Linked DNA regions of Canis lupus familiaris. The protein of the gene in region 4 binds, or shares a complex with, the protein of the main gene of each other region. Links are inferred from orthologs where the notes say so. Each region holds a gene or a part of one and is shown on either strand. Other genes may lie near its edges.

What was found.
Region 1: the proteins of PARP1 (region 4) and TIMELESS are in contact, whole or in part, in a crystal structure (PDB 4XHU), measured with the Homo sapiens proteins. The link is inferred for Canis lupus familiaris from reciprocal best matches to the Homo sapiens genes PARP1 and TIMELESS. Residues at the interface, in NP_001609.2 of Homo sapiens: Gln846, Lys849, Pro850, Phe851, Leu854, Arg878, Ile879, Ala880, Pro882, Asn928, Lys940, Lys943, Gly944, His946, Tyr992, Asp993, Ile994, Ala995, Gln996; in NP_003911.2 of Homo sapiens: Asp1036, Gln1040, Pro1043, Val1045, Pro1046, Leu1047, Thr1048, Glu1049, Glu1052, Glu1053, Glu1056, Ser1074, Gly1075, Gln1076, Glu1077, Thr1078, Phe1079, Arg1081.
Region 2: the proteins of PARP1 (region 4) and SMYD2 are in contact, whole or in part, in a crystal structure (PDB 9CKC), measured with the Homo sapiens proteins. The link is inferred for Canis lupus familiaris from reciprocal best matches to the Homo sapiens genes PARP1 and SMYD2. Residues at the interface, in NP_001609.2 of Homo sapiens: Thr526, Leu527, Lys528, Gly529, Gly530, Ala531; in NP_064582.2 of Homo sapiens: Thr105, Leu108, Val179, Asn180, Cys181, Asn182, Gly183, Phe184, Thr185, Glu187, Leu191, Ser196, Ala203, Met205, Tyr240, Ile241, Asp242, Ser257, Tyr258, Asn380.
Region 3: the proteins of PARP1 (region 4) and HPF1 are in contact, whole or in part, in a crystal structure (PDB 6M3I), measured with the Homo sapiens proteins. The link is inferred for Canis lupus familiaris from reciprocal best matches to the Homo sapiens genes PARP1 and HPF1. Residues at the interface, in NP_001609.2 of Homo sapiens: Thr825, His826, Asn827, Ala828, Arg865, Met890, Lys903, Asn906, Tyr907, His909, Ser911, Gln912, Gly913, His934, Lys953, Ser983, Leu984, Leu985, Tyr986, Glu988, Thr1011, Ser1012, Leu1013, Trp1014; in NP_060337.2 of Homo sapiens: Asn234, Val236, Asp261, Arg264, Leu265, Phe268, Gln272, Glu273, Thr276, Phe277, Gln279, Phe280, Asn282, Asp283, Glu284, Cys285, Tyr287, Tyr304, Lys307, Val308, Gln311, Leu315, Leu319.

The regions. Positions count from the first base shown.
Region 1 is NC_049231.1:1,030,742-1,038,346, forward strand, and holds part of TIMELESS (protein timeless homolog), read right to left. Parts: intron 7,478-7,605; coding exon 7,322-7,477; intron 7,077-7,321; coding exon 6,943-7,076; intron 6,649-6,942; coding exon 6,561-6,648; intron 6,130-6,560; coding exon 5,953-6,129; intron 5,341-5,952; coding exon 5,123-5,340; intron 4,888-5,122; coding exon 4,784-4,887; intron 4,659-4,783; coding exon 4,489-4,658; intron 1,577-4,488; coding exon 1,442-1,576; intron 1,345-1,441; coding exon 1,193-1,344; intron 46-1,192; coding exon 1-45. UniProt on the Homo sapiens protein: Plays an important role in the control of DNA replication, maintenance of replication fork stability, maintenance of genome stability throughout normal DNA replication, DNA repair and in the regulation of the circadian clock.
Region 2 is NC_049228.1:12,140,659-12,148,831, reverse strand, and holds the start of SMYD2 (N-lysine methyltransferase SMYD2), read right to left. Parts: upstream 5,041-8,173; 5' UTR 4,925-5,040; coding exon 4,752-4,924; intron 1-4,751. UniProt on the Homo sapiens protein: Protein-lysine N-methyltransferase that methylates both histones and non-histone proteins, including p53/TP53 and RB1. Specifically trimethylates histone H3 'Lys-4' (H3K4me3) in vivo. The activity requires interaction with HSP90alpha.
Region 3 is NC_049246.1:20,716,049-20,722,782, forward strand, and holds the end of HPF1 (histone PARylation factor 1), read right to left. Parts: intron 6,590-6,734; coding exon 6,502-6,589; intron 5,366-6,501; coding exon 5,193-5,365; intron 2,578-5,192; coding exon 2,446-2,577; 3' UTR 2,324-2,445; downstream 1-2,323. UniProt on the Homo sapiens protein: Cofactor for serine ADP-ribosylation that confers serine specificity on PARP1 and PARP2 and plays a key role in DNA damage response.
Region 4 is NC_049228.1:38,454,632-38,462,236, reverse strand, and holds part of PARP1 (poly [ADP-ribose] polymerase 1), read right to left. Parts: intron 4,289-7,605; coding exon 4,123-4,288; intron 1-4,122. UniProt on the Homo sapiens protein: Poly-ADP-ribosyltransferase that mediates poly-ADP-ribosylation of proteins and plays a key role in DNA repair.

The DNA.
Region 1 (7,605 bases), on a different chromosome or scaffold from region 4:
GAAATGTCTTGTGAGCCAAACACATCTCCTTCTGGCCATACCTCCCTGGAGCACAGAGAAAAAAAAAAAGATTTCAACCAGGGGAGATTTGTGTCATAATTTGAAGTAGGCAAAGGAATTTAGACTCATCTCTCATTTAGTAGCCAGAAAGAGAATGCAAACTGTTACCTCAAAGAGGATACAAAGACTCTAGGGAAATTTTCCCTCAAAAGCCACAATGCAATGAACACATAAGAACAAAATGCAAACAACCTAAATGTCTGACATTTGGTTAGACAAATGTACATTTGACGTTGCCGTTAACAATTAAGGCAATATATCTCATGAGAAACAAGGTTCGTGATATACTGAGAAGAAAATATGAAACAGTATGTCAATATTGTTTTTATAAAAAAAGGCTGAATATCTGTATAGATAACCCAGAGGGAAAAGAATCAGAAAGATTACTCATCAAATTGTGAAAGATGATTATCTTCAGCCAGTAGAATTATCTACATTTTTTCCCCCAATTAACTGTGCTTTCTGGTATTTCTCAAAAATAAAATAGAAGGGATCCCTGGGTGGCTCAGCGGTTAAATGCCTGCCTTCCGCCCAGGGCATGATCCTGGAGACCCAGGATCAAGTCCCACATCAGGCTCTCTGCATGGAGCCTGCTTCTCTCTCTCTGCCTGTGTCTCTGCCTCTCTCTCTTTCTCTGTGTCTCTCATGAATAAATAAATAAAATCTTTAAAAAAAAAATAGAAACAGGGACACCTGGGTGGCTCAGCGGCTGAGCATCTGCCTTCGGCTCAGGGCGTGATCTTGGGATCTGGGGATTGAGTCTCGTATCAGGCTCCCTGAGAGGAGCCTACTTCTCCCTCTGCCTGTGTTTCTGCCTCTCTCTGTGTGTCTCTCATGAAAAACTAAATAAAAATCTTTTATTTTTATTTTATTTTATTTTATTTTTTTAAATAAAAATCTTTTAAAAAGAAATAAATAATAAAATAAAATAAAATTTAAAAAAATAAGCAAAAGCCCCAATAAGCCAATCAAAACTCCCCAGGACTCTGTGCTCCGTATAGAGCCCCTGTGCTGCTGATGGGACTTCTCTCTTTCAAAGACAAAGAACCTTGTACCACAGTGAAAGCCTCCCTCTGCTCCTCCCAAAAGTCCAGGAGCTGGATCCAGGAGGATGGATGGGCAGGGTGCTTACCGGGCAGACCTAAGGAGGGTTAGGGCCTGTGAAGCCTGGCCAGCCAGGAGACAGTCCTGGATCCGCACCATGGCTTCCGCCCGCTGCTCTTCTACTGGCACTTCTGAGGCCGCATCAAAGGGAACCACAGAGTCCAAGCTGAGGTCGGGATCCTAGAACAGGATTAGGGCTATGGAACAGGGGAGGGAAACCCAGATGTCCTATTAGTGCACTACCCATGGGAAAGGTAAGGTTTTTCCTACTACCTACCTGGGCACAGCATCGTAGCTGCTCAGCCAGGGACGGCCACACAGCCTCTAGTTCACCTGCACTATAGGGGACATGATCAGAAGCAACAGGCTGACCTACGGCCTTCTTTTTCTTCTTTCTCTTCTTTTGTTTGTTCTACAGAGAAAGAACTATTGTCATGATGGCAGGAAAGCTAAGAGGACATTTTCCCATCAATGTCTTCTCTATTAATTAATTCATTAAAGGTCTGAATTAATTAATTCAATAGTCACAGAGTGAACACTGTGTGCTATTCATAAGCAGTAAGAAAGCAACAGTGAGAGTGAGTGGTATATTTCCTTGCCCTTGAGGAACACACAGTCCAGTGGAGGAGACAGGTGAGTAGATAAGTAAAGTATATTACAGTATGGATAAACTTAGAATACGGCTGGGCATAAAATGCCACGGCAAGGGACACCTGGGTGGCTCAGGAGTTGAGTGTCTGCTGCCTTCAGTTCAGGGCATGATCCTAGAGTCTCCGTATCGAGTCCCACATCGGGCTCCCTGCATGGAGCCTGCTTCTCCCTCTCCCTCTGCCTATGTCTCTCTCTTTCTGTGTGTCTCTTGTGAATAAATAAAATCTTAAAAAAAAAAAAAAAAAAAGCCACAGCAGAACAAAGGAAAAGTACTTGACTTATTTCTGGGGGTCAGAGATTTCCCAAAAGCAGTGATATCTTAAGCAGATTATAGAATGAACAGGTTTGTTATGAAGATACAAAAGGCTTTGTAAAATGCATAGCACTACGTAAACATAATCTGTATTGTTTTTCTCCTGAAAAGCAGGAAAATGAGAGTCAACACCCCACCCTTGTTCCCTAAATCATGACTGAACCAGTTATGGGTACAGACAAATAGGATGGACTAGGAGGCCCTTGAGGTTCATGCTCTATTCAAGAAACTCAGAATTTAACACATCAAAGGTTAGGAGCATGAGCTTGGGAGTCCAACAGATCTGGATTTAAGTACTGACTCTTCCACTAGCAAGACCTCAAACAGGCTGCTTCTCCACTCTGTGATGTGTCCTAGTCCTACTGTGAGGATTACACGAAAGCCTTATTAGCACAGCATCTGACACAGTCAACACTCAATAAACAACAGCACCTCTTATTTCTGATAAAACAATAGTCTTGAATTAAAAATATCTTTTAGTAAGGTCTCACTGGTACTACTGTCTCTTTTAACTGCTGTTCTCACTAAATTTTAAGCCACAGCATATAGAATACAGGAAGATTTTTACAAAGCAGAGTGTCTCTGTCTGTAGGATACAAATTCATCGAGATTTTCTTCTTGTCTTAGACTTTAACATTTTATTTTATTTTTATTTATTATTTTTTTAATAACATTTTATTTTTTCATCACTGTGAAGCGTACTCTTTAATCCCCATCCTCCCACCACCCTCCTCTGGTATCAATCAGTTTGTTCTTTAGTAGTTAAGAGTCTGATTGTTGGGGATCCCTGGGTGGCGCAGCGGTTTGGCGCCTGCCTTTGGCCCAGGGCGCGATCCTGGAGACCCGGAATCGAATCCCACATCGGGCTCCCGGTGCATGGAGCCTGCTTCTCCCTCTGCCTGTGTCTCTGCCTCTCTCTCTCTCTCTCTGTGACTATCATGAATAAATAAATAAAATCTTTAAAAAAAAAAAAAAAAAAGAGTCTGATTGTTGGTCTGTCTTTTTCCTTTGTTCATTTGTTTTGTTTCTTAAATTACACATGAGTGAAATAATATGGTATTTGTCTTTCTCTGCTGACTTATTTCGCTTGGCATTACTATCTCTAGCTTCAACCATGTTGTAAATGACAAGATTTCATTCGTTTTTATGGCTGAATAATATTCCATCACACACACACACACACACACCATTCATCTATCAATAGATACTTTGGCTGCTTCCATAGTGTGGCTATTACAAATAATGCTACAATAAACAAAGAGGTGCAGGTTTTTCTTTGAATCAGTGTTTTCTTATCTTAGACTTTTATTTATTTTTTTAAAGGATTTTATTTTTAAGTACTCTCTACACCCAATGTGTAGCTCAAACTCACAATCCCGAGATCAAGAGTCACATGCTCCACTGACTGAGCCAGCCAGGTGCCCTTGTCTACAACTTTTTATTTTTTATGCCATTTCAGGCTCATATTACAATCTCATCTTTAGGGATCTGGGGACTGATATGAGCAGCTTGAGTTATTCTAACAGTTACTAATATAGGATGAGATTCCAGACTTTCTGGCTTTTTATTTAGGGTGTTTGCCAGTTCACTATAATGCTACTGAAGTATAACCAAGAAGGATGATGGCATAATTACTAAGGTCTAAAATTACAAATCCCCAGAGTTGGGCAGCCCGGGTGGCTCAGTGGTTTAGCGCCGCCTCCAGCCCAGGGTGTGATCCTGGATATCTGGGATTGAGTCCCACGTCGGGCTCCCTGCATGGAGCCTGCTTTTCCCTCTGCCTGTGTCTCTGCCTCTCTCTCTGTGTCTCTCATGAATAAATAAAATCTTCAAAAAAAAAAAAAAAGATTTTATTTATTTATTCATGAGACAGAGAGAGAAAGAGAGTGAGAGAGAGAGAGAGAGAGAGACGCAGAGACATAGGCAGAGGGAGAAGTAGGCTCCATGCAGCGAGCCTGACGTGGGACTCTATCCCGGGTCTCCAGGATCACACCCTGGGCTGAAGGCAGGTGCTAAACTGCTGAGCCACCCAGGGATCCCCAAATAAATAAAATCTCAAAAAAAAATGAAGATACTAAAAAACAAAAAAACAAATCCCCAGAGTTTATATGCTTTGTACATACTACATGTTTTGTAAATGTTTCCTGAGTGAATGAAGATATTTATGTTAGACTGGAGATTAATTTAATGAAAGAAGGAAACTACAGTAGACACACATCAGCAACACCAATAAACCTCTTGCCTTCCTTTGTTCAGAGTAGTTTTAACAGGTCAGCTTAAGCTGCAGAAACGTTGAGGTGAGTTCCTTGGTCTCCACCCTTCCCTCACGGCTCTTCCCACATTCCAGGGCTGCCCAGTACCTGTACCACCAGGTTCCCACGGCTCCGACAGAACCGCTCCAACATCTTGAGGAAGAGGTGGGTGGTTTCTATCAAGTCACGAAGGAAAGAGCGCGGCTGGCATCTCTCATCAAACTTTCGAAAGAGAGCCAGGAACAGTTCTCGGTACTCCATCACATAGAAGATATTGTCTAGGAAGAGAAAGGAATGGAAGGACTGGTCTGGAAACTTTGGGAAGGGGAGGGGAGACTGGAAAGAGTGATATTGTGGTCAAGAGATGAGAAAGGCCAGGATTAGAGACAGGCCAGGGCCTCACTCTTGATGATGCGGCTGCTATCCCTCACAGCCTCATCTGGGGACATGTCCATCTCATTCACTGTGGCCAGCAGCTCCTGATAGGCCTTCAGGGCCAGGTGCATCCTGTAAGATGAGGCAAAGAGGAAAAGTGGAGGACAATTTAGAAAACTGGCTCAGGGAAGCAGTACCCCTCTCCCCCCTTCCAAAAAGACAGTGCCATCAACACAACGACCCAGCTGGTCCTTGCTCCCCAGTCTGACCACCTTAATCCTGAAACAAGAAAGAAAGTACCACCCAGAATCCAGTCACTCATGACTGCCCAAATGCACACTCTGACCCCAATTTTCGTCCCACTCACCGACGTGCCCAGGAGGCAGCTTCCTTGCGATCAGTCAGCATCATCTCATAGTAATTGGTGAGGTTCTGCTCAATGAAGTGGAAGGTACGGACACTGAGGGTCTCAGAAACCAGGCCTGGCCGAAAGGAGGCAGCTCGGTTGAAGGCCATGAAGAAAGCCAAGGCCCACATGTAGTAGGTCTCATCATGTTGCTGAGCCTTCTCCCGCAGCAGGTAATCCTAATGTCCAGAAAAAAAAGACCACCCCATGACCCCAGGGTTTCCAACTTTCTCCTTGTCCTATGATGATAGGATAGATGATAGGATAGACCCTGGACACCATTACAGCAATATTCTAGGATTCAGAATTTCCAGCCCTCTCTTGTTCTCCCCAGGTCTCTCCCCTTCCTCTGGGGAATTTCTCCAAGCCCCCCCCCTTTTTTTTTTTTTTTTAAGATTTTATTTATTTATCAATGAGACAGAGAGAGAGAGAGACAGAGACAGAGAGAGAGTGAGAGAGAGTGAGAGAGAGGCAGAGACACAGGCAGAGGGAGAAGCAGGCTCCATTCCATGCAGGGAACCTGACAAGGGTTCGATCCCGGGATCATGCTCCGGGCCAAAGGCAGGTGCCAAACCACTGAGCCACCCAGGGATTCCCCTCTCCAAGCCTTTTTTAAATTGTCCCAGTGACCTACCCCCTCCCAACATCCTCATGTCTCAAGGGTGCCCTATACCCTGCCCAACTACTAGTCCACACTCCAGGGTTAACCCCCCCCAGAGCCCTCCCCAGTTGCCCTTCTTCCCCACCACTGGCCCCATCACCTCTCTCTTCCATCCTTCCCAGGCTCTCACCTTCACCGAGCCCATGAGCCGGTTATAACAATTCTCCAGGAACTCAGAGCAAAAGTCTCTGAGGAACAGTCTCACATTAAGGGCAGAGCGGCGCTGAATGGACAGCTCCCGGGCAGCTTGGCGACGTTTAGGCACCCTGCGAGGCTGCTTCCCCAAATCTGAACTGTAGTTTTGGAGCTGAGGGTGTGGGTCAGGGGATCAGAATTACTCCTCACCACCACCCTCCCCTTGCAGCTCTTTCCACATCCTTAGTGCTAGAATTTCCTCAGAAGAAACTCTTAGAAGGCTCACTTCCTCTGGTACTAAGTGAAGATACAAGTAAAGACAATAATGTCAGAGGCTCTATTTCTCCTATTGTCTCCAACGTTCTAAGCCCCAGAACAAAGATGCTCTACTTCCAGAGATGCTTGCTTACCTTTCTTTTTTTTTCTTTTTTCTGATTTTATTCTTAAGTAATCTCTATACCCAATATGGGCCTGGAACTCGCAACCCCGAGATCAAGAGTTGCACGCTCCACAGACTAAGGCACCCAGGCGCCCCATCTGCTTACCCTCCTCCGGTACCGTCAACTCCACAATGCTCCCACCCCACGTGGGAAGCATACTCACATTGTGGAGACCTTTGTGAAAGATGAGGTCCCTCTCCCCAATGGATTTCAACCCCTGGACAATGTAGGAGCCCCCAAATCGAGAATGCCTGTAGTAAAAAAAAAAGGAAAAAGAAAAAGAAAAAGAAAGAAAAAGAAAAAGAAAAAGAAAAGAAAAAGAAAAAGAAAAAGAAAAAAAGAAAAAGAAAAAAAAAAAAAGCCCAGAGTGATTCCTCAAATCTCTGGAAACTTTATCTCCGTTCTCTTTCATTAGCACATCAGCGTGTTATGACTACAGAACGTTACCCAGTCACCACTGTCCTAGCCTTTGGCCCAAGTCCTCAGTGGGAAGGTTCCATACTGGAGGGATGGGAACATGGCCAGGGCACCTCCCGGTCACGTACCTGTTGCCTCGCTGAAGGGCTCGAGTCTTCTTTTCCGCCATCTCTCGCTGGCGCAACATCTCCAGTTCCGCCACATCTGTGCTCCGCTCCTGCGCTAGGCGTCCCTTTCCTACTCCTGCCAGCTGTTCAGGGTTCTAGATTTGGAACAAGGAGGAGAGAGTCAGAAGGACAGTCATTCCTTGTTCTAGGTTCAGTCCTAGGAGGAACAAAAAAGATGAAGGAACTAGGACTGCTGGAGGTGCCCCGTACTCAGGACATGGCTACTCTGTCTGCCACCCACCTGCCCCAAATAATTCAGCCATTATTTTAAGAGTGATTGTGGCTACACGGCAGAGACGTTCATAGGTGAAGAGCCTAGGGAAAGAAGCCAGGTTCTCACCTGGTCACGAAACATAAGCGAGATGATCTCTAGCACATGCAGACTCCACTGCTGCTCCGCAGGCGAGCTGGCCAGAAAGAGAAGCAGGTCATCCAGGCCACTGAGGTGAACTGCCCAGAGAAGCTGGTCATGGACACTGGCATCATCGTCGATCCTCTGAGCAGTGAGTGATGAGGGGAGGAAGAGAGGTCATTCAGTTCCACTGCCCTCCCCTGACCTTCTCCAATTCATTCCTTGACCAAGTTTCCCTCTCTTCCTTGTTGGAGGGCAGAAAAGCAAAAAAA
Region 2 (8,173 bases), about 26 Mb from region 4:
CATCTAAAGTCTTAAAGGACTGTTCTTGGCCACATCTGAATCGTGCAAAAATTAAAGAGCAGACAGGAGCAGTGACAGGCTTGCTGTGCACAAAATTCTGTTTGCCTCCATTTCTTTTCTCAAATATTTGCTTAGTCTCCAGGCAAAAGACTATTAATGCTTCTAAGCACTTTGGAGCCAGAAAAGCTTTAAAAAAAAAAAAAAAAAAGTTTACTTATGTAGGTTCATTATATCATTTCCATTAGGTTTTAAAAAACAGTGAAATCCGTCAATATTCTGGGGGACCTGGGGGCTGAGAACTGCTGCTTTTAGCTCTGAGTAAATGTGCCATCTGAAGGATGACTCTACTGATCAACAATTTCCAGTATTTCCTTCCTAGTACCTACCCCCCAACGCCACCATTTACTCTGTAGTACTATTCATCCTGTCTAACCCATTGTTTTACCAGACTGTCAAAGTAATATTTAGTTGATTTTAATTAATATTAAGAGCCATGAACTCTTGACCCCAACCCCACCATGATAAAAATGTCCCTGACACTGCAATATTTTATCACCCTCTGTAACATTTAGTACAAGCCAGACTGCCAGGCGGACTGTGACAGCTTACTCTATGTTTAGGGCCTTACTAAGTGCTTGACTTCTAATGCCTTGTAATTCAAAGCTCTGGAGGCAGGTATTCATGTGAACAATGTAAACATAAAGGAACCCAGTTGTTCAAAGACATTAAGTAATTTTGCTTAAAGACAAAACATCAGGAAGGAAGGAAGCCAGAACTCAAACCAAGTCAATCTGGCACCAGAGTCTCTGCTTTGCCCTCTCTGAATAAATGAAAACTTGAAATATTCTAATATTGAAAGTGACAATATAATCTCATTACCTGATGTATTGACAGCTGAATTTTGTTTTATTTAATATCACTTTTTAGAGAAAATCTGTTGTCTGTACATTGTAATCTTACTGCCCATTTTTAAGAAAAAATACTTGTGAAAAGGAGCACTGTTAGAGCATGTGTCTAATTTTTCATTCAGAAAGCAAGATAATTTGAGAACGTCTGAAGTCATTCTTCCCCTTAGAGACTCAACAATTCTCAGAGAATGTTCTGGGAATAAACAGAATCACACCAGCCCTTGGGGATGACTCCCCTGCTCTGAGGGGCAGTTTCAGGTGGTCAGCCCGAGGGTTCTTTCGGAGAACCTTAAGGCTTCTTGAGAAAACAATTCATGACTCTTAGGAGCCAAGAGTTCATGGCTCTTAATATTAATTAAAATCAACTAAATATTACTTTGACAGTCTGGTAAAACAATGGGTTAGACAGGATGGATAGTACTACAGAGTAAATCTGTGAGACATCTTTACAACTGCTGAAACAGGACATCTCGACCATACTGTTTTGCTCATGCAAGCATTTTAATTTTTAAAACCACTCTGAAATAAATAAATAAATAAATAAATAAATAAATAAAACCACTCTGAGCCAGGCATGACATAAATTTCCTGAAATTGGGTTCTAACAGCTCTTTTGCAAGGAGGCTAAGCGGGCCTTCGTACTCTTCCCCCATACTCGGAATGAACCAACAAAAAAGGCAATATTCTGGCCTTTAAATGACCCACGACCAAGAAAATAAAACATCAAGAGGAGACATCTTCCCACCTGAGGAACTGCACACAGAATGAATATTCAGATGGAACGCTGGGTTACAGCAGATTTTTCCTTTTTTGAGGCCAATAACAAAGTGTTAAAATATGCTGAGTACTAAGTATGAAATATAACATAGAAGTATCTGCCACAGAAAGGTGGCTAATGGCCAAAAAGTAAGTGTGTGTGTTTGTGCGCATGTGTGTATGTGTGTGTGTACACAAAATGTATCTAAGAGGTGTGACAGGGACAGCTCCCAATTGGAAAACATTTATATTTTTAGGAGTTGCCTTCTAGAAGCTGAGGCAACATAAATATCCTCCTAAGGATATTGGGAGATATCCAAACTGAGAAAATGTGTACAAATTTAAAATCCCCAGAAACAAACTTTTGTCTGAATTGTGTCAACGATAAGAATTCCCATTCCACTGTGACCTGAGAAACTTCGCTTTTTCAATTTATAGAATAAACTTATTACTGCAGAAATCACCTATTTCCCTTCAAAATAAGTTAAACCCAGATACAATTACTATGACAATGAGACCCTCCAGTGGCTCACTTATCTTAAGCAATATTGTTTTATGATAAACTTCAAGCACAAGAAAGGATAAGAAATAGTTTGGGTTTTTTTTTCCCCCTGTGGGAGAAGGGCAGGGGGGTAGGGAAGTAGCAGATTTTACCCTCTATGCTTTAATATTTGAGAATTCTCCTCCTACTCCCTTGAAGGTCCAGGAGACATATATGTGTTCTAATGCAGCTGGACAGACTGGTTTGTTCTTAGACATAATCAAATAGTTGACAGAGAAAATGGTGCTACATCTATGAGAACAACCTAACCGCGAATCCTAAACTAATCGAATTTAACAGAAATCATAGAGTGGTGTACAAGGATATTTCCAGTTTCATAGGTATCATGGTGTCATTATTTCTGGTGTGTTATTTTAGCTGATTTCAAATGACTCCTTGGGGAGAGAGAAGAAATGAACCGTGGGTCTTAAGAGAAGTTCACCCAAGCCAAACAGAAAAAAGTGGCGTGGATGGGGACAGATGCAGTGGTACCGCCCCAACGCACGTGGCAGCCCTGGTGTCGGGTCTAAGACAACAGTCAGCTACAATAACAAAAGTTATTGAGAAAAAGGAAAAACAAAGCACACCCTGTCCCATAGGGCAGGGTGATTTGTGGAGCGGAATCTGACCATACACTGAAGTTGTAAGGTTGGGGGCGTGTACAGTAGATACAGTCAGGACGCTCACTGCTAAAGAGAAGCATCTCTCAGCTCCGCTTCTCCCCTCTGAACCCAGAGGGATTTGATCTCTAATTCACTGCAGGAGCGCACTGGGAACTGCCATCTGAGTACCTACTATGTGCCTGGCGCTGTGATCTTCTCTCACAGGATGGACTCCAGGAATCACCAGGATTCCCGATGGAGGGGAGCACCTTCCGTGCTGGGTGACCCCGCTTTGCTCCTGCCACTCCAGACACCCACACTGCTTCAGACTCCGAGCCACAGCGAGGCTCAGAAGATCAAGGGACCAGTCACAGCAGCCTTTTTAACTTTGGGAAAACCCAATGCTCACTTCACTCAAACGTTGCAAAGTGGTGCCATGACCCTTTAGCTCTTGACTCACCAATTCAAAGAGCCACATCACATACAGCCCTTAAGCTGCCCACGGCATGATTCTGCGTCTAGTGCCTTTCCAGGTCCCCCCAAGCGGAAGACAGTTCTGGCAGGGAGTCTGGGCAAGATTACTATAATATTTAGCCTTTGTCCCTTCTTTCGCTATGTCTTATCATAGAATAAGGCACACGTGTCTGGGAAACTGGGTCCTTTGGTGTATGGTGGACTTGAGACCTGTCCTCAAAGGGTCCCTGCGGGACCTCAGGTCAGTGTAATCTGACCCAAGAAGCTCCATTTCCAAGATGAAGAAACTGAGATTCAAAGAAAGTAAAGCACGGTCCACTCTTCAGAGAGCAGCGGTAGGTTGGGTACAAACCTAATTCAACGCCATGCTTCGTGTCTCTGGAAGTTTCCTGGGCACCCAAACCAGCAGGACATGGGCAGAACTGGAGAGAACAGACTCCATTCCCTTAACCATTGGTGTGAGGATACAGATACACAACCACACTTCCTATCTGGGCCCGTAAAATGGAGAGAAGTGTGTCGGGACTCGGGAATGTGCCTTTGGGGTCTGAAACCATCATACAGCTTGAGGATATAATTATGTGTGGGTGCCTATGAACAGAGACCTATGTGAGTATACGTATGTATATTTTTATACACGACACGCTACTATTAAATACCATTTCCGACCACACATTTTGCCTAATTGCCCCGGAGGCCACGTTTTCAAAAGAAGAATCCCAAAGCGAGGTCAGGTGCGTCCGCCCTCACCGCAGCCCTTCAGAACCCCGGGGTGCGCGGTCCGTACCCCTCCGGCTTCTCTCCAAACAGCAGCGCAGAGTGAGAAGGAAGAGGAGGAGCCGAGTACTTTACACGAAATGTTAACTGTCAAGAAGTTCCCAGGAGGTGGCCGGGCCGGGCCGGGCTGGGGCTGGGGGGTGGGCTGAGCTGGGGGTGGGCTGGGGTGAGCTGGGGTGAGCTGGGGTGGGCTGGGGTGAGCTGGGGTGGGCCGGGCTGCGGTGGGGGTGGTGGGGGGTGCAGGACGGAACACGCCGCAGGAGGCCCAGGTGGAGGGCTGCAGGCTGCGGCTGCTCCAACCTGGGCCTGGGCCGGGCCGCCGATGCTCCAAGCGGGCAGCGCGCGCTCGCGCCCGGGACGCGCCTGGCTCGGCGCCCACGTCTGAGGCCAGGACCCTGCGCTCCCGCGTGAGCCCATCCGGCGCAAGCAAGTGGGAGAGCGCAGGCCGCGCGGCGGGCCCTCGGCGGCTCTGTCCCCACGCACGTGGCGCGGCTCGCGCGGGGGCACAGCGCGCCTCCCGCCCGCCCGGGGGCGGCCTCCGCCCGAGCGGCCGGCGCTAGGACCCCGCGCGCCGCGCACTTCCCCCGCCGCGGCGCCCGCCCGCCCCGCCCCCGCCCGCGCGCCCCGCCCCGCCCCCGCCCCCGCCCCCGCCCCCGCCCGCCGCCCCCGCCGCCCCCGCCGCCCCCGCCCTACCTGGCGAAGCAGTACTCGCAGTGGTTGCCCCGCTCGTTGACCGTGAGCACGTAGGCGTAGGCCGGGCAGGAGAAGAGCAGGTCCCCCACGTGGAAGGGCTGCAGGGCCCGCAGCCCCCGGCCCTTGCCCGGGCTGCAGAAGCGCTCCAGGCCGCCGTCGCCCGCCGCCCTCATGCCGGCAGCGGGGCGGGACCGGCGGGACCGGCGGGACCGGCGGGACCGGCGCCCCGAGCCGAGGCGCCCCGCGAGCTGTTATTGGAGAAGCGTCACCCAGAGCCGCGGGGAGGGAGGCCGCCGCTCCCCGGAAGGGACGCCGGCCCCGCCCGGCCCTCGCGCGCCCCCGGGGGCGGGGGGGAGGGGAGGGAGGAGGAGGAGGGGAGGGGAGGGGAGGGGAGGGGAGGGGAACCCGCCCGCGGCCCCGCCCCCCGCCCCTCGGCCGCCCGCCCCGGGCGCTTGGGGCGTCCCCGCGGGAGGGCGGACGCGGCCCCTGGTCCGTGCGTGGGCGGCGGGGGATGCACGGCCTGGGGGGGGCGGGGCAGACGGGCCGCCTGGGCCCCGCGCAGCGGACGGAGCTGTGTCTGCACCTTGTGTGCCCTGCCCTCGCCCGAGGCCCTACACGGGGTCCCCCCGAGAGGCCGAGGCCCTAGACGGGGTCACCCTGGGGCGCCCAAGACCCTACATGGGGTCCCCCCGGGCGCCCGGGAGAGGCCGAGACCCTAGACGGGGTCACCCTGGGGCGCCCGAGACCCTACACGGGGTCCCCCCGGGGCGCCCGGGAGAGGCCGAGACCCTAGACGGGGTCACCCTGGGGCGCCCGAGACCCTACACGGGGTACCCCCGGGGCGCCCGGGAGAGGCCGAGGCCCTAGGCGGGGTCACCCTGGAGCACCTGAGACCCTACATGGGGTCCCCCCGGGGCGCCCGGGAGAGGCCGAGGCCCTAGACGGGGTCACCCTGGGGCGCCCAGGAGAGGCCGCACAGTGTGGGATGCGCTGAGGGTTCAAGGGCGCCTTCCAAAGGTCAAAGGCTTGGAAGCCTCCTGAGGCTGCAGACCTTGCAGGAGTCTCCGGAGTATTCATTTTTTTTTTTTTTCTCCGGAGTATTCAGATGGGAACCTTTGCCCCTCTCGTGGAAATTAATTACATGGACAGAAGAGGAAAAGTCAGGTCAGCCTGGAGCACTGAGTCTCTGCTTTCAAGAAACTTCCTCTTCCCCGAGAAAACGGGAGATAATCTGGCCTTCAAAGAACTTAAACCCTTCCAGGGTCCCAAGTGCCATTGTGCAGCCAGAACCCTGGGCTGGAATTTGCAGTGGTCTTGATCCCTTGGACCCCTCCCTGTCATCTCAGGAAAGCTCATTTGGTTGCAAGTCACCCAGGATTTGGAAGGAACATGTGTAGCTCCTAGAATACTTAAGCCCTGAAGCCCATACACATGCATGCTGTTGGTGTCACTCCTCTGAGAAAGTAGGGTGTGATATCTGTGTTGCTACAAAGGATGGCAGTTAAGGACTGGAGCTGACATGTGTGCAGGAGAAACTTTTAAAAATGTGAAGGGAGACTTTAGCAGACAACACTTAATAACTAAAAACCCAAGTTTGATCTCAAATTAGGTTACAGGTGTAAATTCAGGACTAGTTTAGCAAAGGGAAAGATGAATACAGTTTGGAGGATATGTCGTAAGAAGAGTAGAATTTTTTGACTCCTCGATACAATCCCTAAAATGAAAAAGCCTGTAGCTTATTCCTGTCAAGAAAAATATAGCATGGATACTATTTCATTTATGGTTTTGAAGAAGCAGTCACTGAGTTCAGCCACTATGTGCCAGTCGCTGGGATAAAAAGATGGGACAAAATGTAGGCCTGAGTCTTTGCATTTGACGCATTCACAAGCCAATGATAATTACCATCGGTTAGTACAATGGGCCAATTGTGCAAAGCACACCAAGCACAGTGTCTCATGTATTCTGTAACTGCAGCAGCTCAGTGAATTGACATTAAGTCCCCCCTTTTCCAAAATTCAGAAACTAAGACTCAGAATCCCTTACAAGGCCTCAGTAAGTTGCAGAATTTGGTTTCAAATTCAAGTCCATCTGAGTGGAATATCCACGATCTTAACCCGGATGTCCCTCTGCATATAAACACAGCTCCCTGAGGAGTGCCCTTACTCCTTGAGAGGTGGCTTGTGCAAAGTATTCTGAGAATACAGGCAATGAGTGACAAACTCAGCCTGAAGAATGGCCAGGGCCTGTGCCACATTCAAGGAACATTTGAGCCTAAAAGGATGGGTGAAACTTGCCCAGGAAAGGAGTAGAAAAGAGTTTCCTGGGCAGAGAGAACTGCACACAAAGAGGGACTTAAAAGAACTGAGTGTGTGGGGATGCCCTATGAGTGATTCGGAGCAGAGCAGAGTTCTCAAGAAAGTAGGAGGTGAGGCAGGAACAAGGGAAGGATATGGTCTGGAGAGGTGAGCTTTGTGGCAAATGTGGTATGGCAACCACTGGAAAACGTTGAAGCAGCAGGGGTGCTGTGATCAATCCAGCGTTTAGACTGAGTTCTACTGGCAGCTTTGCAGATAAACTGTGAGAGGAGAGGCCTGAACACAGGCCCACCACTTAAGAGAGCATCTGCAGTATTTTTTTATTTTTTATTCATGGGAGACACACAGAGAGAGACAGAGACACAGGCAGAGAGAGAAGGAGGCTTCATGCAGGGAGCCCGATGCTCGACTTCGATCCTGAAACTCTGAGATCATGCCCTAAACCAAAGGCAGATGCTCAACCGCTGAGCCACCCAGACGTCCCACGTCTGCAGTATTTTAAATGAAGGAGGAGGAGAGTCAGAATCAAGGCAGTAGCATTAAGGAGAGGGGCAAAGGTGTGGGGGGAATGCCAGTTTCTTGCTTGGTATATGGCAAATGGCAAGCAGACAACAGAAGGTGTTGGCTTTCTGGCTCTGGCCTGATCAATCTTTTTTTTTTTTTTTAATTTTTATTTATTTATGATAGTCACAGAGAGAGAGTCAGAGACACAGACAGAGGGAGAAGCAGGCTCCATGCACCGGGAGCCCGATGTGGGATTCGATCCCGGGTCTCCAGGATCGCGCCCTAGGCCAAAGGCAGGCGCCAAACCGCTGCGCCACCCAGGGATCCCTGGCCTGATCAATCTTGATCCTGATCAAGATAGGAACCATAAATATCCTAGGATTTGGGGAATGAGAGAGGCATCTTCTTACTAATGAGGAAGATGAGGCCCTGTGAAATTAAATAGCGTAGGCAGAGCTAGCATGAGATTCTACAACATATTCATTCAACATTTAAATATTTATTGCATGGTTACTGTGTTCCAGCAGCAGTGAGAAGGACTGGTGACATAATGATACCAGAAACTGGCTTGTTCTGTGCCCTCACAGAGTTTTGTACCGTCTG
Region 3 (6,734 bases), on a different chromosome or scaffold from region 4:
GGAGGTAGATTTTTAAAAAGTTACGAATTATATTTGAAACTGTTGGATCAAGAAATGGCAGTATTAAATGGCTAGTATTTCTAGCTAAGCAGATTGGTTTAATATAAGATAGGTGGATTTATTCAAATCATCAGTATTTAAAAGATGTTAACTATTTCTAAATACTGACCCCAATGTTAAGTACCTTAGAAACTAAGGAAATCTGAGGAAAAAAGCTCAGCTTCAAAAATTTAAGATCAAATGTGATTTGGTCACCATTTCTAATCAAAGAATTGTGTGATGCAGCCAGTATCACTGTCACTGTAAGCTTACAGCTTAGTTCAGATGCGGCCAGAACCTGCTGATGCTTACAGCCTGAAATGGGGCAATTCCTGAAAATCTCCTGAGACCTCCCTATCACTATGCAAGTTCCAGTTCAGTAATGAAAGGGAAGGCAAAAGGATGGTTTGGTTTAGTTTGGCTAAGCTGTTACATAGTGTCTCTCTTGAAGAAAGCCATCTTTAGGGTGTATCTTTCTACATACGTGTCTGAGAAGTCCTACAGAAACTCCGTTATTAAGCTCCAGGAATGAGCTTAGCTAAATTTGAGGAGGGTAGTGGTATTGTTCAATTCTTACCGGGTTAAGGTACACTTCACTTGTGAGTCTAGGCCCTTAGAATGTGTTCTCATAAGTATAGAAGTGGTGTTTGGAAGCTACTCTAGCCATCGGATGGCCACATCCTGGGTAGATAGAAGTAGATAGAAGATATTCAGCAGACTGTGTGTGGACTGAAGAAAGCCATCTTTAGGCTTTCTTCAAGAGAAAGGCCAGCATGGGCCGTGGGACGAACACATTCTAGGTATAGCCTGGGGGATATTAGACCCCAGAAGACATTCTATTGTTTGAGAATTCTTACCTTAAGGACATCTCAAAAGTTTCCCAAATCGCTGGTGTGATTTTCTATGGCAGTTAGTGAGCAGCATGTAATAGGGTCATTTTGTTCGACAAATAGTAAAAGGTGTTACTGAGGGGGATATGTATACTGAAAAAATTCATCATCTTAAAAAGCTTGCAGCTTAACTAGGGAGATGAGACAAGCTGCTCAAATTAAAGATCCTGGCTGGAAGTGTTTGCCGATAGTCTACTCATACTTTATATCAAAAAGAGTATCTCAGGACCCCTGGGTGGCTCAGCGATTTAGCACCTGCCTTCAGCCCAGGGAGTGATCCTGGAGTCCCGGGATTGAGTCCCACATGGGGCTCCCTGAATGGAGCCTGCTCCTCCCTCTGCCTGTGTCTCTGCCTTTCTCTCTCTGGGTCTCTCATGAATAAATAAAACTAAAAAAAAAAAAAAAAAAATCTCATACTATTTTAAGGAGACAGCTGACAGGATAAGTGACTCTGGAGACTGACAATTCAACAGAAGTTCTTTGGGTAACTCAGGTCAATCTTCTGCAAAATGTGGGGTTTACGAGATGACCTAGGGCTTTTTTTTTTTTGTCTTGAACTTCATACAAAGGAAAATAACTTTATATGCTCTTCAGCCCAATCCACAGAGTTGGCTATTTTACATTTGGGTTTTTTTTTGTTTTGTTTTTGCTATTTTTAAGATGAAGGACGTTTTGTCAGGCTTGAGGAGGATGTGAATCTGGTAAAACACAGTTGTAATCATGGACTTGTGCTAGAAATCCAATGATATAATTTGCAGAAAACTTTAATATCTAAACTAATGGTATAGTAGAGTACACTATACTATCAATAGTCTCATCTATATTGATTAGTAAATGTAGTGAGTCAAGGAACTGTTTTAAAGAATATACCTAATGGATACCTGAACTACATACGTATCACCTGGAGATGCTGTTAAAATGCAGCTTTGGCACCTCTGGGGTCAGGCACCTCCCATTTACTTCCCGTATGCCTTCCCCACTGCCTATAAATCCAGTCTCTAAAGCTATAGCTTTTTTTTTTTTTAAAGGTTTTTATTTATTCATGACACACACAGGCAGAGGGAGAAGCAGGCTCCTTGCGGTGGGGAGCCTGATGTGGGACTCAATGCCAAATGGAGGCAGACGTTCAAACTCTGAGCCACCCAGGTGTCCCAAGCTATAGCTATTATTAACTCAAGTCTGAGAAATAAATATTTAGTTGCCCATATGTTAAATACTGAAACAGGATTCCCTGATGAGAGAACAGTCTAGTTATCCACGGGCAGGAGACCATGACTTCCTGTGACATGTCGGAGGAGACTTTGGTTGTCTTTCAGATGGGATTAGAACATCTCCATTCAGAGGACTGACTGCCATTTATCTGCACATGAAAGAGATGGGCTAGAAGAGCTTTATAAAAGTTTTTGGTATAGGTTTCCATCAATTTATTTTCTGTATTCCTTAAAAACAAAACAAAAAAAATCACAAGTTTAATACTAATGCTTTAAAGTACTGTACACTGAAAGGAAGCCGACTCTCAGGCTGCGAGTTGGTCTATGTTCTCTTTACTTCTGTTTGCCAAATGTTCTTCAATAATTTCTGCAAAGAGATTCCTCTTCAAAAGATTATATGCAAGAGGTAAAAGCTGGCCAGCAACTTTATGAAAATACTGAAAAATAAAAGAATGTAACATTAAGCAGAGAACATAGCAGATGCCCTAGTAAGTAGCAAAAAATACACAGAAAAAGCTGTTAACAAAGCACTGTCCAAATCATTTTAGCTACTTTCTCAATTGGTTAGGAAGTGAATTGACACATTCTGTTCAAGAGGCCAAACTTGTAGTTTTAAAAGACTTAATGGTACATCTTGAAGAAAATTCTGAAGAAAACTAAGTTATAAGTTAAAATTTTAAGCTTCCTTAATTCTCTTGGATAAGGATCATCATTTTTACCTTAAGGGCATCTTAAGGTAAACTATATGCTCAAATGCTTTTTTTCTTCTCTAGTGTTATCCCCAGTTAAGATTTTAATCATCATTTTCCTTAGTTGATACTATATGAAGAGGTATGCGGAATTTGAGTTATCAAGTCACATTTATTCCCTTTTATCTTCAAATTTTCTGCTCCCCAACCCACCATGTAACCCAGCTCCATCCCTTGTCACTGCCTTGGTTTTATCAAGTGACTTAGACTACTGCTATTTTTATATATACTTAAAGAGAACCTGGGAACGCTTCTGTTGATGACATTTAGCACTTACTAGATGCTCAGTACTGTGCTAAGTCTTTTCATATGTTGTTTAGTACTCAGGCCAATTATTTTCAATTAAACTGATTCAGTTTTTGGCAGGCCCAGCATTATTCTGATTGGTCAATGACTTATTCTAGCTGTTAAACATTTTGACTATTTTTTCTAATAGCCATATATAAGGCAGGCAGAAAAATATTGTAATATGGTCTACAGCAGAGTTCTCAAAATAGCCTGCTCTAATTAGCCTGACCTGGTAACAGGTCAGAAATCCAAATTCCTAAGAGTCCCCCAAGAACTCAAACCTTGGTGGGGGGGCAGTAGGGGTAAGTACACCAATCTGTTTGAATAGCCATCCACATGATTGTGATACATGCTGAAGTTAGCACCTGCTTTAGTCTTGCTGCTCACACTAGTCTACAGGCAGTAGCATTACCAGTACCCAGGAGTACAACAAATGCAGTCTCAAGCCTCACCCCAGATGCACTGAAGCAGTCTGCATTTTAACATTATCTTCAGATCTTTATATAGTTTACAGTTTGGGAATTACTGATTTAGACACTAACTCTGGAACTGTCTGCCTGTGAACCTGAGCAAGATGGTTTACCTCTTGTGCCTCGTAGGTGACCCATAGGTTAAATGAGAAACTGTGTGTGTGCGTGCGTACGCATGTCCACACACACACGCAGACATCTCAGCTAAAGGACCCAGGTACAATGGTGTTGGAAAAACGGCCCAATCTTACACAGCTACTAAGTGGGAAAGATGTTATTTAAAACCAAACAATGTAGCCTTAGGAACATGTTATAGACTCTACACCTTGAGGCAACCACAGTGAATAAGCACTGATTTAACTGTTAGGTAGGTTTTTCCTATTTAATAAGCAAAGGTCATGATGATTAAAAACAAAAACTATATTTTATTTTATTTTTTAAAAAATTTTATTTATTCATGAGAGAGAGAGAGAGAGAGAGGCAGAGGCACAGGCAGAGGGAGAAGCAGGCTCCATGCAAGGAGCCCAATGTGGGACTTGATCCCAGGACTCCAGGATCATGCCCTGAATCGAAGGCAGACGCTCAACTCCACCCAGACATCCTGAAAAACTATATTTTAAATAATTTCAATTAAAGCCTATTTTAAGATATAGTAGCTCCCACCTATTCACAAGGGATAGGCTTCAAAACCCCGAGTGGATTCCTAAAACCATGGACAGTACCCTATTTATGCTGTTTTCCTATACATATGTATGATAAAGTTTAATTTATAAATTAAGCAAAATAAGAGATTAGTGAGAACATAAGATAGCTTCTATTACAGTATATTGTTATAAGTGTTCTACATGAATGTAGTGGCTTTCAAAATATTGTACTAACCCTTCATATAACAGTGTGACATGATAAAATGCCTACATAGTATGATGGAGGTGAATGACATAGGCATTGTGATACAACGTTAGGTCACTATACTGCTCTTCTGACAGTATCTCAGAAGGAGGATCATCTAATTCTGGTCCACAGTTGACCACAGTTAACTGAAACCACAGGAAGTGAAACCATGGATAAGGCGGGGTAGGGGGCTGAAGGAGGTGGGGACTACTAGGTAGTATTTATTTTTCATCTAGGAATTCAAACAATAGAACAAATACCCCCCACCACCACAGCGGAAAGCCAAATGGAGCCCTATGAAAGTTTTATGTGCATACCCATACACACATCCAACTAAAGGGGCATATATATTCCTATAATACATCTAATAAGAAATTCACTTTAATGTAAACCTGAAGGCAGGCAAATAATCTTGGTTATTTACCTTTGGCAGAATACAAAGTTAATTTCAAATATTTTCAGACATCTGCTTATCAAAAAGTTCATTTGGGGAAAAAAAATTCATTGAACACACAAGCTGAATTTATATCCTACCCCTGCTATTGAGGGCATAAATATTCATATTCTGGTATGCCTGTATGTGGGGTGAAGTAGGGAAGAGAAGGTCTGGTGATGGCTGGGAAGTTGTTTGTTTGTTGTTTTTTTCTTACTCACGTGTGAGCCGTAACAAAAGAGATCCATTCCTAGCTCAAGCCCCATACCATAGTCACATTCATCATTAGCGAACTGCACAAAAGTCATCATTTCCTGGATGGGAGCAAAAGCTTTTAGTCTGTCCTCATCACTAGGTGCCTCAACGATGGTCTTGCAAATTCTCTTGAGGTTGGCTGTAAGAAACCAAGGATATAAAAAGATGATCTACACCCATCATCAAAGATAAAAAGATTCTAAGTTGGGTTTTTCCTCATCAATTTTTGTAACTATTGCAACAAATGCCACCTTGGGTGGTACTAGAATTTAAAATGGCAATTTATAATTTAAGAAAAATGGCTTAACAAAAAAGATTTGTGTATTAGCAAACGGTGACTATTTTACTATAGATATAGTTGCAATCACGATTATACATAAGCTTTTTAAAGGTTTTTAGTAGGCTAGTCCATAGATCAACAAACTGTGGCCAAATCTGACCCACCCTGTTTTTAACTGAACTCACAGAATGTTTTTCCATTTTAACTGGTTGGAAAAGAACAAAAAATACGGCAACAGAGATCATTTGTAGTCCATCTCTGGGCTAGTCCATATTAGGAGTTGGATTAAAACAAACAAACCCTCCAAAACAGGCCATAAAGTTTTCTCTTTATTGCCCTGTCCTACCTGTTGTACTAAAAACACAGAGAAAAAGACAATATAAGAAATAAGAGATCATTGCCAAATTAAATCTTAAATTTTTTTTTTAAATTTTTTATTTATTTATGATAGTCAGAGAGAGAGAGAGAGGCAGACACAGGCAGAGGGAGAGGCAGGCTCCATGCACCGGGAGCCCGATGTGGGATTCGATCCCGGGTCTCCAGGATCGCGCCCTGGGCCAAAGGCAGGCGCCAAACCCCTGCACCACCCAGGGATCCCGCCAAATTAAATCTTTACCAAAATGTGGTCACAGTAAAAGTACAATTGAGGTAAGAACAAATAGAAAACTTTCAGCATTTATCTAGATTTAAAAAGCCAGTGGCTTAATATTTTTGTTTTGGCTTTTGGTATTTTTTCCCCCACTACTTTCTGGATGCCAGTGTACATCAGATCTCAGGATGCATATAAAGATATTGAACAGTATCTCTAGACTTCTTTTTTGACAAGCTATTTCCATGAGAATAATCCAATAGTAAAAGTACGGCCTGACTGACCCTAAAACTTGAGCTTGCTCTTTATCCCTAAAGTCTAGTGACTATCCCACAAAAGGCATACTTATTTTCTCAATACATACAAAGAAGACCTTCCACACATGTTCACATAAGAAATACATTACCATCTGTTTCAGGGAGTTCTCTGTACCCAACATCATTTTTATCTACTGGAACAACCAAGCCTGCACCATGAAAGGTCTTTGTCACGACCTAAATTAAAAAAAAATAAATATATATATATAACTATTGGTAAACAAAATAGACATGGTAGATAAAAACAACAAACTCTCCAAAATATATGCACACAAACTTGCAATACTTCTGTCAAAATGTAACATTTAATGACTTTTCATTT
Region 4 (7,605 bases):
GGTTGAGTAGCCGACTCTTGATTTTGGGTCATGGTTGTGAGATCAAGCCCTGGGTTGGGCTCTGCACTCAGTGGGAAGTCTGCTTGAGACTCCCTCTCCCTTTTTCTGCCTCTCGCCGGATCACACACTCTTTCTAAAATAAACAAATAAATCTTAAAAAAAAAAAAAAAAGTAAATATTAAACTGTAAAATGTAACATATAGATCAACATCATAGGAAAATGCAAATCAAAACCACATGAAAGGGACGCCTGGGTGGCTCCACAGTAGAGCATGTGCCTTTGGCTCAGGCCATGATCCTGGGGTCCTGTGATCCAGTTCCGCATCGGGCTCCCTGCCTCCCTGTATGGAGCCTGCTTCTCCCTCTGCCTGTCTCTGCCTCTGTCTCTCATGAATGAATAAAATCTTAAAACACACACACACACCACATGAACACTTCACACCTTAGGCTGGGTATTATAAAAACAAGAACAGAGACAACACACCCACCCACCCACCCTCAGACCATAAAGCACTGGCAAGGATGCAGGGGAATTGGAAAACTGTGTATTTCTGGAGGGGATGAAAAATCGTGCAGCCCTTGCAGAAAACACTATGGCAGGTACACGGAACATAAAACACAGAATTACTCTCTGATTCAGCCATTCCCCTTCCCACATATGGACCTAAGAGAACAGAAAGTGGGGTCTGGACTGGGTATGCCACCATAATGTCCACAACAATGTTATTTGTAATTGCCCAAGGGCAGAAACCATCCAAATACCCCTCAATGAGTGAACAGATAAACAAAATGTGGGGCACCTGGGTGGCACAGTCAATTAAGCATCTGCCTTTGGCTCATGTCATGATCTAGGATTTCTGAGATCCAGGCCCCCTTCAGGCTCCCTGCTCAGTGGGAAGTCTGCTTCTCCTCCTCCCTCTCCCCCCGGTTGTGTGCGCACGTGCTCTCAAATAAAAAAATAAAATCTTAAAAAAAGTGATGTATCCATGTTGCAGGTATATGCAATCTGATAGCGGCCACAGCACTATACCACGGACAGAGCTGAGGACAGATGTCGAGTGAGATAAGCTCATCCTAGAAGGACAAACCCTGTATGATTCCACTCACAGAGGCACCCAGAGTCCCATTCACAGACAGAAATCGTAGCAGGGGGACACGAAATTGGGGAGGGGGGCCGTTTACTGTGAATTGGGCTCTGAGTTTCAGGTTGGGAAGATGAGAACACTCTGGAGGTGGAGGTGGGTGGGGTGATGGTCGAACAGTGTGAATGTGCTTCATGGTGATGAAGCCCACACTTAAACTTGGCTAAGATAGTGGATTTCATGGTATGTGTATTTCACCACACACAAGAAGCATTTTAACAAAATAACACTTAGGCAGAATCCCATTTCTACAGGAAGAAAAAGTGACACACATGTGAATCAATACTGGAATAGAAAATTTCAAATAGGGAGACACCCCACAACGCCAAAGATAGTTGGAATTACAGGATCTAGGAAGATGGAAACTTCTTGTGTGTCTCTGTGATTAAATTAGGCTCTTTGAATACAAAAATCACTGGACAATTAACAGGTGTTATCTTAACTTTGATTTCTGAGGTTTTCAGAAACAAAATAGTTTATAGCAAACTTACTGTGCCTTTCCTATTATAAAATTACATAATTTGATACACATAAATTATAACTAGATGGGACATAGTCCTAAGACAACCCCCACTAACCTGAACACAAAAGGGAAAAACGACCACAGAATAAGAAAAATTTGTTACACCTGCCCTCTGCTAAAATGGACAGGCTCACTCTCTGGACCCTTTCTTAGCGAATTTGCTGTTTTTATTCACAGTGAGCCATGTCATTGACCTCCCAGCTCCCAGCGCCCCGACTCAAGTTCATATGAAGGCAAAAGACTCAGAACAGCCAACACAGGTTTGAAAAAGAAAAACAAAGTCAGAGGACTAACACCATCTGGCTTTAAGATTCACCATGAAACTAGTCATCACGACGGTATGGTACTGGCAGAATAGACAAACTGATAAAAAGACCCCACAAATATACCCACACCAACACAGTCATTGACATCTGACAAAGGAACAAATGCAACACGATGGAGGAAAGACAGAATTTCCAACAGGTGGTACTGGCACTGGACATATGCATATACACAATAAATCTAGACTAAGACTTTATCTACTTTACAAAACTTAAAACGAATCAGGATCTTAAAGGAAAACACCATAATGTAAAACTCCCAGAATGTGACACAGGAGAAAATCTAGCTGACCTAGGTGTGGTGAGGACTCTTAGATACAACAGTAAAGACACAGGCCAGGAAAAAAATAATGGATAAGCTGGAACTTATCTTACAACTTACAACTGAGAACTTCTGTAACAGACGCTGTCAAGAAAATGGGAGAAGAAACAAACCAGACATGAAAAAGACATCTGCAAAAGACAAAAGACCACTATCCAAAATACATGAACAACTCTAAAACTCAAGGAAAGAACATGAAAGATGAATGGCAAAATATCCAGACTCTTTCCCAAATAGAGATGCAGATGGCAATAAGCACACGAAAAGATGCTCCACATTGTAGGGTATTAGGGGACTGCAAACCAACTCAAGACACCTGTACACACCCATCAGAATGGTTAAAATCCTGAACCCAGACATACCAAGTGCTAGTGAGGGAGTGATGGAAATGCAAACTGGTACAGCTGCTTAGAGAGCTGGTTTGCGGGTTTCTTTTCTTTCTTTTTTTTTTTTTTTAAGATTTTATTTATTTATTCATAGAGACAGAGACACAGGCAGAGGGAGAAGCAGGCTCCATGCAGAGAGCCCGATATGGGACTCAATCCAGGGTCTCCAGGATCACGCCCTGGGCTGCAGGCGGCGCCAAACCGCTGCACCACCGGGGCTGCCCCTGGTTTGCGGGGTTTCTTACAAAATGAAGCCTACGCTTCCCCAGAGGATGAGCAGTCATGCTCTTTGCTTTCTATCCAAATGAAAGTCTGCACAAAATTTACACATGGATGTGCACCTAAGTCTGCACAAAAATTTACACACGGATGTTCACAGCACTTTTATTTGCATTTACTGAATCTTGGAAGCAACCAAGATATCCTTCCTAACGAACAGACCGTGGTCCATCCAGACAATGGAATGTTATTCAGGGTTAAAGGGAACGGAGCCATCAAGCCCCGAAGAGACACAGAGGAACCTGAAATGCCTGTTAATTATTAAGTAGAGAAGCCAATCTGAAGAGACTACATACGAATGACTCCAAATACAGATGACACTTGAACAAAGTGGGAGTTGGGATGTTGACCTTCCTCGTGCACTGAAAACCTATGGGTCACTTGAGTCCCCTGAAACCTTTTTTTTTTTTAAAAGATTTTATTTATTTGATAGAAAGCAAGCGAGTGTGAGCAGGAGGAGTGTGAGCAGGAGGAATGGCAGAGGGAGAAGCAGACTCCCCACTGAGCAGGGAGCCTGATGTGGAACTTGATCCCAGGACCTGGGATCATGACCTGAAGGCAGATGCTTCACTGAGTGAGCCTCCCAGGTGCCCCACAATACCCCTGAAACTTAACTACTAACAGCCTACTGTTCACGGGAAGCCCTACTGATAACCAACAGTTAACACATCCTTTGTTATAAGTATTAAATATTGAACTCCCAATAAGGTAAACCTCAAAAAAGAAAATGTTATTAAGTAAACACATTTATAGTAGTGTTGAATTTACTGAAGATTAGACAGAAGCAGACCAGTTCAAACCCATGTTGTTCAAAGGTCAATTGTGTATTGTCCAAACCCATACAATGTACACTACCACACGTGAATCCTTAAACCTTGGACCTGGGGTGATAATGAAGGGTCCACTTGAACACATGTACCGCTGTGGAGGGAGACAGAGGGAGAGGCCCTGCCTGTGTGGCGGCAGGAGGTAAATGGGAAAACTCGTTGAAAAACAAAAACAGCCTACCATAGGCAAGCCAAGGAGGTGCTGCCGAAATCACAGGTAACAAAGCTGAAGGGCTCCCCACCCCCCAGAAGAGGTCCCCAGGGAAGCTGCCCAGGTGGGACTGGGGGTCTGCACCTGCTGCCCCCAGGTCCATACACACCTGTCACGCCTCCAGCCTCCGCAGTCTTTTTGACTTTCTGCTGGTCATCCCACCTGAGTTCAGAGAACCCGTCCACCTCCACGTCAGGGTGCCGGATGGAGTGGCCGACCTTCCAGAAGCAGGAAAAGTGGTACCAGTGTGGGACTTTTCCATCGAACATGGGTGACTAGGAGAGAACAGAGGGAGATGAGTGAGCAGCCTCAAGCCCAGCCCTTGGCAGCTGGCCCTGTCCCGTGTCATGTGAGAAAATGCATCCCAGTCCACAGTTCTCAAGATCTTCCCCAACAGCTGTCTGCTGAAGGTGGGAGTCTGTTCTCAGGACATGGGACACAGATGGGAACAGGGGAGCTTCTAAACAGAACCTAGCCCCAGAGGCCTTCTAACCACAGGCTTCACGCTTCAGTGACATGACTTCCCTCCCAGCATCCTGGAATGCACACAGGACCCCCGCTGCTGCCCCTGTGGGGCCTGTGTGGCCCAGAAAGGGTTCCCTTAGTGCGTCTGCAGTTAAAATAATGAGGAACAAGTCCCAAATAATGAGCAAGGCAGAGAAACTGTGTCAGGAAACAGTGTCAAGCTGGCGGTCTGGGGAGCAGATGACAGAAGTCCCCAGGGCCTGGAGCCAGACTATCAGCTCCCTCACTGGCCTCTGGGAAGTCTGGCCAGGGGGGAAAGGTGCTTCCCCTCTCATGGTGGACTTCCTCTTTCCTTTGATGCTTCATACTCAACAGGCTGCTGACTCCACAGCACCAGGCTCTTCTCCCTGTGTGGTGTCACCTTTGGTCTCCTGGGCCCCTAGCACCTCTGGCTTCAGAGAAGGCACAGTGGTGGTGACCAGGCACAGTGGGGCTAATGCTGGCACTTACTTGGTCCCTGGCCCTCTTCGCAAGCCATCACACGTAACCTTCAACTACCTCTGGGTGGCAACCAGCATCCCCGTCCACAGATGTCTGCGGCAAGTGACTCAGCCTGACTGCACCGACACCAAGTTTTAGTCCACTACTCTGCTCGGCAGGAAGAGCTACCGAAACACACAAACTTTTTTTTTTTTTTTTTACACAAACGGTTCTGATCAAGGCAGAAGAGGCTCCAAATATCTGCCTTTATAGAAAATAAAGCTAAATGCCACACAGATGGAATAAAAGCATTAAAACAGCATCAAAAATAAATACCACAAATTTTTGGATGGAACAGTCTGACAGGGGAAATATTCTGGAAAAACAGTGATGAGTTCTCCCACCAAGCCCCCTCCTGCTGGGAGTGGCCTCTTAATCAGTATAATACATGCAGAGGGAGGGTTCAGGCCAGGGTACTTCAAGGACTCCCTAGCATCAAGCAGCCTGGTTTACAGCACAATAGCTCTTCCCTGGGCCCTGAATGCTCCACTGCCCTATTCAGAGCAAGTGGCACCTTCCCATCTCCCCAGAAGGTTCCTTACAAGCTCCTCCTTGCTAAGAAGGATCCATTTGGGCCATTATTCAATGTCCATGTCCTGCACTAGGCTGGAAGCTCCCGGAAGGGCAACAATGCCCACCTTGGTACCATCATGCAATGCCTACTCATAGAGGACACAGAGAGAGTGTGGAACACCCCAAGTTTGGAGATAAGAAAGGGAAAGGATGGGGGAAGTCCTGCTCTGGAAAAGATGCCCTCCCAACAGAACAAAAGATGGTGCCCCCACCCCCCAAAAAGGCATTTCAGAATGGACTTGCATTTCAGCTCTCAAACTTCCAACAAGGCAGGCGAAGCGTATTCCACCTTGCTGTACATCTGCAGAGACTGGCACTTGGGCTCCTTTTGCCTCCGTGTCCCTCGTCTGCCCCTCCTCTGCGGCGCTCAGGTCACATTCGCACAAAGGGAGGGAACACACTGGACCTTGTGGCTGTTGCATGGTTTCCTGGCTCTGGTGGGGTCCCTGCACCTGCCCCCTAACCTCTGGTGTGGGTGCTGTGTCCCAACTATCAGTGCAGCGTGGGGCAACCAAGAGGTGCAGCCCAAGGGCATGCAGCTTGAGGGACTTGAGAGCAAGGACCCCTGATCAAAGCAAGGCCTTACCCTAGAATGTAGGATTCACAAGGATATGGCAGGAAGGAAACCAGAACAAGGTCATAAGGCTACGCTTCCACTTGGCAACCGTAAGCAGAAGAATTTCTGTGTACCCAGCAAACACACACCAGGTCCTCGCCCAGCCACTATTTCCTTCGGCATAGAACAGGCCATCCCACTGCCCACCTATCCACCGAGAGCACGGAATGACCATTAACAGTGTGTGTGACCCCACAGCAAGCCCGCCCAACACAAAAGAACCCAGGGTCCAAGGGTCAAGAAGCTACAAGGCCTGGTTAGTCCCCTGGAGGCTGCCCCCGGGCACACCACCTAAAGTATCAGGTATCTGACACTTGGAGAACAATCCGCCCATACAAATGTAAAAGAAGGTATTAGAACCCCGAGGGAGAAGAATGGCTTCTTTCTTTCAGGCCTCCAGCTCTGCCTACAAAGACCAGATTTTACATTCTGAATTAAAACTCCACCCCCAAATACAGTTACAGAAAACCACTTTAACTCATTTATTTCACGATCTGGGAACACCAGGCCAGCCCTATGTATTCGATATACTGGCTCTACTATGGTTTTGTCTGTCCTTCCTGATCAGGGAAGGTCCTCTCTGGATGATTAGTGAAGCCTAAGGATACGTCTTTCTCCAAATAAAATTTAAAAACGAGTAATACAATACACAGGCTCACAGAAGAAAGCAGTTAGACTGAATTATCAAAATGTTTAAAAATATGGTAATGGTGAGCTCTAAAGCATAAAATAACAAGATTTAGTGCCCACTGTAGCAACTACAGCAACTTTGAATGATGATGAATGTAATGGATGTTTTGAGATATCCCCAACAAACGTACAGTGATATGAAAATATCTGTAATTTCCACTGGTGACAAAAACCATAGGTACTGCTTTTGCTTTTCTGCCTTCACATTCATAACTGGAGAAAGTAATGAAGTTTATTTAGAGATTAGAGATTAGTGACTAGGACGCCTGGGTGCTCAGTGGTTGGGCACCTGCCTTTGGCCCAGGGTGTTATCCTGGAGTCTCAGGATTGAGTCCCACTTCGGGCTCCCTGCATGGAGCCTGCTTCTCCCTCTGCCTGGGTCTCTGCCTCTCTCTCTCATGAATAAATAAAATCTTAAAAAAAAAAAAAAAAAAGAGAGAGAGAGATTAGGGACTACAGAGATATAAATTTCTCTTCTTCTAAACTCAGATTTTAGGTTAAGAGCCCCGGCACCGAGGGAGCTTCTCCTTTTTATTATTATTTTTAAAATGTTAATTTCATGATAGTCAACAATGTTAAGGGGAGAGCTTCAGATTAGGCGACCCATACATTCAGGTGTAAGATCTGGAGAGCCTCAGGGGCAGATCTAGCTCTGCAGATGGTAAGACCTGGTCGGCTTCTCCAACCTCAACTTCCTGCTACTCCTGC